Linked DNA regions of Caenorhabditis elegans. The protein of the gene in region 1 interacts with the protein of each later gene in a pairwise test. Each region holds a gene or a part of one and is shown in the gene's direction. Other genes may lie near its edges.

Evidence for each region.
Region 2: the proteins of rfc-4 (region 1) and rfc-1 interact in a two-hybrid assay, tested with the Caenorhabditis elegans proteins (3 studies listed by BioGRID).
Region 3: the proteins of rfc-4 (region 1) and hpr-17 interact in a two-hybrid assay, tested with the Caenorhabditis elegans proteins (3 studies listed by BioGRID).

What each region holds. Positions count from the first base shown.
Region 1 is NC_003281.10:6,970,538-6,974,290, forward strand, and holds rfc-4 (Replication factor C subunit 4), read left to right. Parts: upstream 1-1,715; 5' UTR 1,716-1,722; coding exon 1,723-1,784; intron 1,785-1,830; coding exon 1,831-1,909; intron 1,910-1,954; coding exon 1,955-2,049; intron 2,050-2,097; coding exon 2,098-2,158; intron 2,159-2,223; coding exon 2,224-2,480; intron 2,481-2,527; coding exon 2,528-2,660; intron 2,661-2,713; coding exon 2,714-2,944; intron 2,945-2,991; coding exon 2,992-3,078; 3' UTR 3,079-3,180; downstream 3,181-3,753. Other genes in the region: eef-1A.1 (Elongation factor 1-alpha), read right to left, coding at 1-729, 778-946, 1,000-1,143. UniProt on the Caenorhabditis elegans protein: The elongation of primed DNA templates by DNA polymerase delta and epsilon requires the action of the accessory proteins PCNA and activator 1. This subunit may be involved in the elongation of the multiprimed DNA template.
Region 2 is NC_003283.11:14,644,079-14,647,831, reverse strand, and holds the start of rfc-1 (Replication factor C subunit 1), read left to right. Parts: upstream 1-1,852; 5' UTR 1,853-1,980; intron 1,981-2,030; 5' UTR 2,031-2,086; coding exon 2,087-2,120; intron 2,121-2,176; coding exon 2,177-2,244; intron 2,245-2,290; coding exon 2,291-2,395; intron 2,396-2,438; exon of another isoform or gene 2,439-2,445; coding exon 2,446-3,214; intron 3,215-3,263; coding exon 3,264-3,583; intron 3,584-3,636; coding exon 3,637-3,753. Other genes in the region: pmp-3 (ATP-binding cassette sub-family D member 4), read right to left, coding at 160-299, 350-642, 1,031-1,079.
Region 3 is NC_003280.10:13,155,437-13,159,189, reverse strand, and holds the start of hpr-17 (uncharacterized protein), read left to right. Parts: upstream 1-2,142; 5' UTR 2,143-2,155; coding exon 2,156-2,245; intron 2,246-2,296; coding exon 2,297-2,378; intron 2,379-2,429; coding exon 2,430-2,779; intron 2,780-3,401; coding exon 3,402-3,753. Other genes in the region: F32A11.1 (Mitochondrial import inner membrane translocase subunit Tim21), read right to left, coding at 295-411, 459-659, 1,270-1,545, 1,607-1,666, 1,726-1,851.

The sequences.
Region 1 (3,753 bases):
TCATGATGATGACCTGGGCGTGGAAGGTGCGAGCCTCCTTGGCTGGGTCTTGCTTGGAGTCGGAGCAGACGGATCCACGACGAATATCCTTGACGGAGACGTTCTTGACGTTGAATCCAACGTTGTCTCCTGGGACGGCCTCTGGAAGAGATTCGTGATGCATCTCAACGGACTTGACTTCAGTGGTGACGTTTTGTGGAGCGAAGGTAACGACCATTCCTGGCTTGATGATTCCGGTCTCAACACGTCCGACTGGAACAGTTCCGATTCCTCCGATCTTGTACACATCCTGGAGTGGGAGACGGAGTGGTCGGTCAGTTGGGCGTTGTGGTGGAATGATGGAGTCGAGAGCCTCGAGGAGGGTCTTTCCGGAAGCGTTTCCTTCCTTGCGCTCAACGGCCCATCCCTTGAACCATGGCATGTTGGAGGAGACCTCAAGCATGTTGTCTCCGTTGAATCCAGAGATTGGGACGAATGGAACAGCCTTTGGATTGTATCCGATCTTCTTGATGAATCCAGAAACCTCGTTGGTGATCTCGGTGAAACGGGCCTCAGAGAATGGTGGCTCGGTGGAGTCCATCTTGTTGCAGGCAACGATGAGTTGCTTGACTCCAAGGGTCTGGGCAAGAAGAGCGTGCTCGCGAGTTTGTCCGTTCTTGGAGATTCCGGCCTCGAATTCTCCAGTTCCGCAAGCGACGACCAAGACGGCGCAATCGGCCTGGGATGTTCCTGCAATTAAAGTTTTATAAACGAGCTAAAAATTTAACAAAGTCGTACCAGTGATCATGTTCTTGATGAAATCACGATGTCCTGGGGCATCGATGATGGTGATGTAGTACTTGGCAGTCTCGAACTTCCAGAGAGCGATATCGATGGTGATACCACGTTCACGCTCGGCCTTCAGCTTGTCGAGGACCCAAGCGTACTTGAAAGATCCCTTACCCATCTGAAAAAAATCGGGTGAGAAAATCTTTCAAACTAGTTGTTTGTACTATTTACCTCCTGAGCCTCCTTCTCGAACTTCTCGATGGTTCTCTTGTCAATTCCTCCGCACTTGTAGATCAAGTGTCCAGTTGTGGTGGACTTTCCGGAGTCGACGTGTCCGATGACGACGATGTTGATATGAACCTTTTCTTTTCCCATGGCTGCTACGGAGTGAGCAAAGTGTTTCCCAACTGAAAAAAAAACAATTTAATTTAAAAGTAAGAAGAGTGCGGACGGTAGAGAGAATAAAAGTCGAAAAAATTATCCTAGAAACTTCTAATATTTTTAAAAATTAAAAAAATATAAAAAGTGAGGTCACAAATAAGACAGTTAGAACATTTGTTGAAAGCCTAAAATAAAAATTCGACTAAACAGTGAGAACAGGAAAAACGCTGGGACTGAATGTTTGACCTCATTATAAATTCATAAAATTTAAATTTCCTAATCTGGATAAAAACAAAGATAAAAACAAAATAAACCAACAAAAAACCAACATGATTAGTCAGATGACCAGAAAACTCACGTTAATTTCACAAGGCCCAAAAAAATCTCTCCCCCTCTCGTTGCTGCCTGCACATCTAACTCCTAGCACGAAAATGTACCGTACACCATTTCAAACACTCTCGGCGGGAGTGTTGCATACTTTTTCTCTCTGGCAGTTTATTTTCAATAAATTCTTCATTTTTATATTGTATAATGTCTTTATTTTATGAAAAATTCATTAATTTAACAGAAACAATGGAAGAACCAATGGAAGTTGACAATAAAAGACCAAAGGTGCTCACCTGGACAGAAAAATAGTTAGTTTTTTGTTTTTCGATTTGCAAAGTAAATTCAAATTTTCAGTCGTCCAAAAACGCTAGACGATATTGCATACCAGGATGAAGTCGTCACAATGCTGAAAGGAGCGCTTCAAGGAAGAGACGTATTGCTTAAAAAATTATTCAAACTAATCGTTTTAATTTTTCAGTTACCACATCTTTTGTTCTATGGACCACCAGGTACTGGTAAGACGTCAGCAGCTCTTGCATTTTGCCGCCAACTCTTCCCAAAAAATATTTTCCAGTAAGTGAAATACTGGGTGATAATTTTTTCCAATAATTATATTTTCAGCGATAGGGTTCTTGATTTGAATGCATCGGACGAGCGTGGTATTGCAGTTGTTCGTCAAAAAGTAAGATTGCCACTGATTTTTAATTAATTAAGAATTCCATAATTATAAAAACGTTTCCTGTTTAGATTCAATCCTTCTCCAAGTCATCTTTGGGCCACAGCCATAGGGAAGATGTTCTCAAATTGAAAATTATCATACTTGATGAAGTTGATGCGATGACCCGAGAAGCACAAGCAGCAATGCGCAGAGTTATTGAAGATTTTTCCAAAACTACTCGCTTCATTCTCATCTGCAACTATGTTTCCCGATTGATTCCTCCAGTTGTGAGCCGTTGTGCCAAGTTCCGATTCAAATCACTTCCAGCCGAGATTCAAGTTCAAAGGTGAAATTTCAAAATTAAGTGTTTTTTATAACTTTCGGTGTTTTTAGATTGAGAACAATTTGTGATGCAGAAGGAACTCCCATGAGTGATGATGAACTGAAACAAGTTATGGAATATTCAGAAGGTGATTTGAGACGAGCTGTATGTACACTTCAGTCATTGGCTCCAATTTTGAAAAGTGTTAGTTGTTTTTTCTATAAATATTGTGTAAAAATAGTACTTTATATTTCCAGGGCGATGACAATGCTCGAAATTGCTATCTCCGTGGTTCTTCGGACAGTTTACTCATTTCAAACGTTTGCAAATCAATCCTGACTGCTGATGTTCCCCAAATAATTGCATTGACAAAGGATATCACAAAATCGTGCACTGGTGTTGCTTTCATTCGTCGTTGTTTCCAACAGTTGATGGATGAAGATGTTATCAATGACGAGAATATTGGAGTAATGGGGAAACTGGTTGCGGTTGGTGGAAGATGAATACATAAATAGAAATGAAAGTTCAATTTCAGACTTGCGAAAAGCGAATTTTGGATGGATGTGATTTGGAAAACAATCTCCTCGACTTTCTGCTCACTCTTCGTGAAACTATCCAATGATAAATTAACACAATACGGTTTCAATTTGCCCATTGATTTCTCAACTTCAAAATTCACGTGTACTATATATAAATTTTAACATTCTATAAACAATAGTTTTGTGCTCAAATTTCGACAAAACATTGAGATTATTATATTTTTTTGAAGGTACAATTCGGCTTAGGTTTTTTTTCAGTTGAATACAAAATATCGAATAGGATAGTTTGGAATAAATAACTACTAGTTCCCTCCCAACTATTTTGCTCTCCGCTCAGTTTTTCACCCTCTGTCGCCCATCGATTTTCGCTCCTTGAAGACTCGGCTCCCCTTCCATTTTCTAAGTAATCTCGCCCCATTGAGCAGTTTTCATTTTTGGTATGAAGCTGAAGAAGTGGAAGTATCCAATTTCAAGAGCTTTTTTGTCTCAAGCAATTTGTGTGAGAATTTGAATTGAGGCAATTTTGAATCCCATTTCATTGTGAATTTCTTTTCTACTATAGCTCTGCTTCATTTTCCATATGATTTCAATTGAAGCTTCCTGACTCTGTACTAATATTAGAGAAAGTGGGGTCAATTCGAAAGTCCACCGTCTGATCAGTACTCAAATTTGATCGAGTCAATGTGTCTCAGTGCTTATAATCCGTGTACCTGCTCCTGATCACACTTGCTCACTGTCTCTGTTTGCTCTTTTCCTGT
Region 2 (3,753 bases), on another chromosome or scaffold:
TGCGACAATGACAAGTTGAACAAATTTCAAATTCTAGCTTAACTTGGTTTTTTCCAAATTAAGCGAAAAATCTAAAAACTCATAGTCAGCTTTTCAATTAAAAGAAAAATTGTAAAATATTATTTGATTTTATAAAATTAATTTATATAAAAAACTTACGGATTATCAAGCATATCCCCAGAAGAAGATAGCTTGAAGAAAGCTTGTCTCTTGAAATATAACCTATGCATCGTGAGATTACATACTTGACGACTTTTGATCGCTAACATATTTGTAAGATATTTGAATACTGCTAATGTCTGAAATTAAACGCTAATTAGGATGAGAAAATATCGAATTTCGATCTTACAAAAGCTTTTCCAAGAATAATCGCGGCTCCCCGTGCACACAGAATTTTAAACGTGTCAGCATCCTTGTTTCCCAGTGCCACGTAGAACAGACTTGGCTGGATTCCAACTAAATACGTCATTACTTGATCGAGAGCAGTTGCGATGAGCAGTGCTCCGGCGAGCCACGCGGTTATCGATCGACGATGACATGGAAACAGGATTTTAAGAAGACGCCAGAACCTCCGAAAGAAGAGGAAGTCGAGGGCCAATCTGGCCATTTTGACCGGATTTTGGGCCGAGGCGTTTTTGCGACCTGAAATTTTGTGATTAGGAAGGCTTTTTTCAGAAGATGCCCCAGAAATAGACATTAAGAAGAGGAGGAGTGGAGTTGAATTCAAGAAAAATAGTGAATTTCAGTGGAGATTTTAGACAAACTTGAAGCTTTTTTTATGACTGGACAATTCTACTGAGATCAACCGGAGCAAAAAACAAAGCATTTTTCTGGAATTTAAAATGTTTCAAGGAGAATATTTAAGACAACCAAACACCATTCAAATCCGAAACAAAAAAGAAAAGAAACGTAGGCCGGCCATACCATCCCATTCAAACCAAATGAGGTCGATAAAGGCGTTGAAAAGAGCACAAAGAAATGAGCACAGAGACGTGGACAATGAAGAACAGAAATGGATAATGATTATCACCTTTTTCTGTTCGTACTTCTTCCAGTTGAATTTCTTGATCCGACTCCATGCGGGATGTGCAATCTGGAAAGAGCTGGCTGTGAGTGAACATGCAAAAACATAATTTATATTTACAATAACAATAGAGATAACGACGATCAAAACAAAACTAAAAAACAAAAGCTATTCAAGGTGCTGCTGAGTTTTTGTGCATTGATAACAATTCAGTTTTACAGAAAAAAAAACAGAAAATGAAGCTTTCGGCATAAATTATTACAATTTTATGTTCCAAACATAAATAAACAGACTATAATGATTCGAATATTTTGAGAAAAAGCTTCAGTTTTCGACGGTTTTGCAGGAATAAGTTCGGTCAGCTGTACACGCAAATACATTTGCGTCCGCACACAGTGTAACGAGGAGAGTGGGGGACAGGAGAAAGTGAGGCAAGCGGAAAGAGAGATTGCAAACGCAGACGATGAAGAAAAAAATGATGGGCGGGGAAGCATTGGGCACTTTTTGGGGGAAAGATGAGGACCCTTTGATATTCAGAATTTTATATTCAGATTTATAACGTGATTCGTGCGAGGAGAATTATCAGTTTTATATAGGATCTTTGAGTTGAAATAAGACGAGAATTTAATTTTTTATCAACAAAAAATCGGGAAGATATGTAACGAATTTCTTGAACGGAAAATAGCAAGGAATCTTAAAAATTTATGAAAAATAAATTGCAATTTTCATACTGTAGAAATTAAAGGGACATTACGAATAAGCCGAATAAGGCCTCGGCACGATTTCAAAAATGCAAATACGCTCTGTTGGAATTTGCTTTTCCCGCTCAGTTTTTTAAATTTTAAAACTTTTTTTTTCATTCTTTTTCATTTTGGCTCCTCAAGATTGTTCCTGCTTTTCGATCGTTTTTTCGAAACCGAAAATTACGAAAATACACCCAGATTTTGGCGATTTTTGTAAGCCTTTCTATAGTTTTTAATCCCCAACAAAAATTATATTTTTTAAGCCGACGGAGAGAATCCAATCCCTCGACATTTACGGAAGATCGCCTCAAAAAAGGAAATGAGTACAAAAAGAAAGATTGTGGTTTCTTCGGGTAAAAAACAAATTGCATTCTGTGCAAATGTGTATTACGAAATTTCTTTTTTTAAGATTCCGATGATGATATGCCATTCACCCAGGAAAAGCAAAAGAAGGCAGCGACACCGGCGAAAAAAAGGGTTCGGAAATTCATGTGAACTGAACCCTCATTGAGAAATGTTTCAGACAAAGCCAGTAGTACTAACCGATGACGACGAAGAAGAAGAAAATGCACCTCAAAAAAAGACTGCACCAAAAAGATCGAGAAAGCAAGAAAAAGAAGAGAGCGATGTGAGAAAGCACTCTAATATCCATGAAATATCGCAATAATTAGCTTTTAGATAACCTCTGACGAAGACGAGCTCGTGCGCGGAACTGATGAAAAAAAGAAAAGAAAGGGTGGAAAAAAGGAGTTACCAGTTGGTCAAAAAACGCTGGATTATATGTTCAAACCTTCTTCGTCATCTTCGAAACGTGATGATCCTAAGAAAAAAGTCGAAAAAACATTAGTGAATCCCGCAGACTTCTTCAAAAACTCACCAGCGCCATCTGCATCAAAACTTCCAAAAGTTGCTCCGAAAACTGTTGAAAAACCAAAAACGCCAGCTAAGAAGCCAGTGGAGATCAGCCCGTCGACCAAAGAAAACACTAAAACAAAGAAAGTGTCGGACGATGAGTTCGTAGATTCTGATGATAGTTTTGACACGTTCACTCCTATTACTGTGAAAAAGAAGACACCTGAAAAGAGAAAGGAGACCCCGAAAAAGAAAGAGCTTCCTTCTGTCAAAAAAGAATTCCCAAAGAAGCAATCAATTCCTGTCAAAAAAGAAAAAGAAACTCCACAGAAAAAGGCGTTATCAGTGAAAAAAGATCCACCGAAAGTAACCTCCGAGTCATCTTCGTCGAGTCAAGTTTCCACGTCATCAGTCGTTTTTCAACCGAAACCAAGTGGGCCACCCCCAGCACTTTCATGGGTTGATAAGTATAAGCCGAAAAGGATGGGAGAACTTGTTGGCCAGAATGGAGACAAAAGCCCAATTAATAAGCTTTTGGAATGGATTAAAGACTGGGCAAAACACAATCTTGGCGAAGGGGCAAAAATTAAGAAGCGTAAGTAATTTTATTTCTATTTTATTATAATATTATCGGCAATTTTCAGCAAAACCAGCTCCATGGATGTCATCTCAAGATGGTACATCATTCAAAGCAGCTCTTTTATCGGGTTCTCCTGGAGTTGGAAAGACTACATGCGCCTATATGGCTTGTCAACAACTGGGCCTTCAACTTGTCGAAATGAATGCATCAGATGTGCGTAGTAAGAAACATCTCGAAGCGAAAATTGGCGAACTCTCTGGTTCTCATCAAATTGAGCAGTTTTTCGGAGCGAAAAAGTGTGCTCCACAAGATAATCAAAAGGTTCATCATATCCTGATTATGGATGAAGTCGACGGAATGTCTGGAAATGAGGATCGAGCTGGTGTGAGTTTAAATGAAGAACTAATATATTAATATTCAAATGTTTATTTTTACAGATCTCTGAGCTCATCCAAATTATCAAGGAGTCTAAAATTCCAATTATTTGCATTTGTAATGACCGGCAGCATCCGAAAATTCGTACACTGGCCAACTATTGCTATGATCTTCGTTTT
Region 3 (3,753 bases), on another chromosome or scaffold:
TTTTAAGTCTGGGTGATAATATATTTTTTTAGAATTCGTCAAAACTAAGAATACAGCACACGAGAACGATTTTTCAAGCTCATTTTTTCATTTTTTAAAAGTAATTTTTCAGTTTTTCTTTTGAAGAAAACAACAATGTGATTAAAACAGGAGAATTAATTAATTGGAATTATCTTAAACATAAACTTTGAACGAAAAAAAAAGTTTTGGAAAAGAAATTCGGCGGATTTTTTTTTGGAAATTTTCCAATTAAAAAAATTACTATTTTTGTAAATTTTCCAATAAAAAACATACCACAGCCTTGGTAATAGCGGCTGAACGAATAATTCCTGTCACTTGCGATGGGTACGACTGCACGGATTCCACCCATGTATCACGCTCCCATACTCCGACTCCTCTACGATCGGCAACCTGCAAATTAATTTATATAATTTTTTTCCAATCCGATTATTCCGCACCTTTTCACTCATAAGAAGCCTACTAATAAGCCTGGAGTAAGCCGGAATCGTCTGCAGCGACTTCAAATGCTTAACTTGATCCGGAGCTGGGACACGGGCATAGCCTCGGCGGACAACTTCCAGATTGAGATTAGTACGGCCAAATGCTGTTCTTTTGACGGTAACATCGGCGTCTACAGCGTCCGGAGCTCCTTCTACGTCCTAAATTAAAGATTTTAGGTAAAAAATGTGGGGAATTTGCTTTAAGACACGCCTATGGGGTCACAAAGACCGAATATCATTATAAAAAAATTTTAAAAAATTTTCTCTAGATTTTATATGATTTTTTGATTTTGAAAATTGAAAAATTCCTATTTGAAACTTGCATTATTTTTTTAATTTATTCTCATTATTTCACTGATTTTCTTCAGTTTTTGGGGTTTTTTTATCGGAAAATGAACGAAATAAACTAGAAAAAGCACTGAAATTGCTTAAAACTGTAAAATACACACTGATTTCAGGCTCGTCGTCGTTGGAACGCATAATTTCACAGTTTTAGGCAATTTCAGTGAATTTTCTTGTTTATTTCTTTCATTTTCCGATTAAAACCCCCCGAAAATGAAGAAAATCAGAGGAATAATGAGAATAAATAAAATAATTTAGTGAAAATAATGCAAGCGCGCTCCAAGCGGTAATTCAAATAGGAATTAGGGGAAAACTGGGATTTTTTTTTCAATTTTCAAAAAAAAATTATATAAAATCTAGAAATTTTTTCTGAATTTTTTTATCATGATATTCGGCCATTGTGACCCCATATGCATGTTTTACATACCTTAATAACGGTAAAAGTGACGGGTTTATTGGTAAGCCTCAAATCCTTCGCCAAAAATTGCTGTCCAGATTGAGAGAGCTCTACACCGGCCAGCCGCAGATTCAGAAGGCCCGTATCGACATTCTTTCGCTTTGGAAGGAACGGAATCTTCATAATTGGCTCATGTTCGACACGAAGTTCTCCACTTGGAAGTACCTCACGTACTCGTCCCTTTAATTCCAGCTCCTTTCGAATGAAATCCTTGGGAATTTGATTAACATGTTGGAATTTGTGGAACTGCAACATTATGATGACGATGATTTTTCAGTAGAAATATTTTTTTGCGAGAAATTCTTACCAATCTCGAGTTTCTCAAATAGATGATGACTCCGGCGAGACCGACACCGACGATTGCGCCCTAAACAAGCAATTAAAAATTGGTGATGTTTTTTGATGTTTTAAATTCCCAATTCTTACCCGTACGGCTAGAGCCGTGTATCTGTCGATCGGATCGACAACTTTTCCGCCGTCTGGGATGGATTTGGCGGTTGGAATAGCTTGCCCATGGTCCGGGTGTGTGGCAGCAGCTTCTGCGTCCGCCATTTATCTGAAAAAGATTAAGAATTAATTAAAAAATATTCTAGAAGGCTATTTTTTAAAGTTTAGGCATCAAAAAACAAAAAAAAACAATGTTTGCCTCCAGAAAAACAGTTCAAAAAACAAAAAAAAAACAGCCGTCCGGTGCAGGTCACCGATAGTGCGTCAGCGTACAGATTTGCGCCAGCAAACTTTCTTTGCGCGTTTCTCGTCCTTGCGGGAAACTTGAATTTAGTTTCTTCTCTCCTTTTAAAAGGCTTTTCCACATTAATTTCTGTAAAAAAATTGATTTTCCAGTTGAAATTCTCCAATGAAAGCCGCTGAACACGATTTGCTCACAATTGAGCTTGCTCCACGGCGACGAGATGAGCTCCAAATCCACAATAAAAAGATTGCAGAGGTGAGATTAGTCTCAATTAAGCTTTAAAAGTCGCAACAATTGTATTTTCAGGTCGATCATTGGCTCAAAAATGTATTTTCTGAGTCAAACAAGCAGCTAGGAGTGATGTACCTCACAGGACCAGCTGGCTCGGGTTATTATTAATTAAAACAAATTTTTTAAAAAATTTTTTTAATATTTTCAGGCAAATCGACGACTGTCGAAGTGATGTGCACAGAGCAGAATATCGAAATCATCGAATATTCGCCAGAATATCTTCACAATGAAGATTTCGAGTGTGAAAAGCCGGATTTCACCCAGCTGCGGAGGTTTTTGTTGCGGAGACATGGAAGCTTGCGGGGTGGTGGCTTGAAAAAGCGGCTTCTTCTCGTCACAGAGCTGCCTGATCAAGCTTATAGTGATGCTGAGAAGTTTCGAGAAGATTTGTCAGAAGTTCTGCAACATATTTGGCATCCCGTGATATTCTGCCTCACGAATAGTATTGCATGCTGGAATTTGAACCCTGATCGATTGTTTACCAAGGACTTTAACATTGTTAGTAGTTGAGGAAAATTAAATTAAATTAATTTGATTTAAAACATGCCCATTTGTGGAAAATTAGAAAAATCTCAGTTTTCCCCTAATTCCTATTTGAATTGCCGCCAATTGAACTCGTTCGATGGAGCGCACTTGCATTATTTTAATTAATTAATTTTATTTATTCTCATTATTTGACTGATTTTATTCATTTTATATGTTTTTTTACTGGAAATTGAAAGAAATAAACAGGATAAATGCAAAATGTTTATTAAAAAGTAATTGAAAATGCGTAAAACTATAAAATATATGCTAATTCACAGTTTTATGCATTTTCAAATACTTTTTAACAAAAATTTTGCATTTTTCTTGTTTATTTCTTTCATTTTCCGATAAAAAATATGTAAAATGAAGAAAATCAGGAAATTAAGATAATGCAAGCGCGCTCCACCGAACAAATCCAATTGGCGGAAATTCAAATAGGAATGAGGGGAAAACTGAGATTTTTCCAATTTTCAAAAAATCATATAAAATCTAGAACAATTTTTTAATTTTTTTTAATCATGATATTCGGTCATTGTGACACCATAGGCGTGTTTTAAAGCAATTTAAAGCAAAAAATCCTTTTTTTTTCTTTCAGATGAATGGAATAGATACAGTAACATTCAACCCAGTTGCTGACTCCTTCATGAAAAAAGCACTCGTCCGCGCTTCAAACTGCCTGAGCTCCCCACTATCCGATGCAAAGCTGAATGTGATCGGAGAGGAAGCTGGAGGCGATTTGAGAATCGCTATGAATATGTTACAGATGAATTCGATTGGACCGAATGCTGATAGAAGAAGTGGAAATAGTGTGATATGTGCATCGAAAGCGAATCGAGAAGAAGCTTTTCATATGATTGGGCGAATTTTATACGCGAAACGTGTCAATCCGAATGTTCCGAAGCCGAGTCGTTTCTCGAAGCGAAGGCGGAAGTCTGCACCGATTCCGG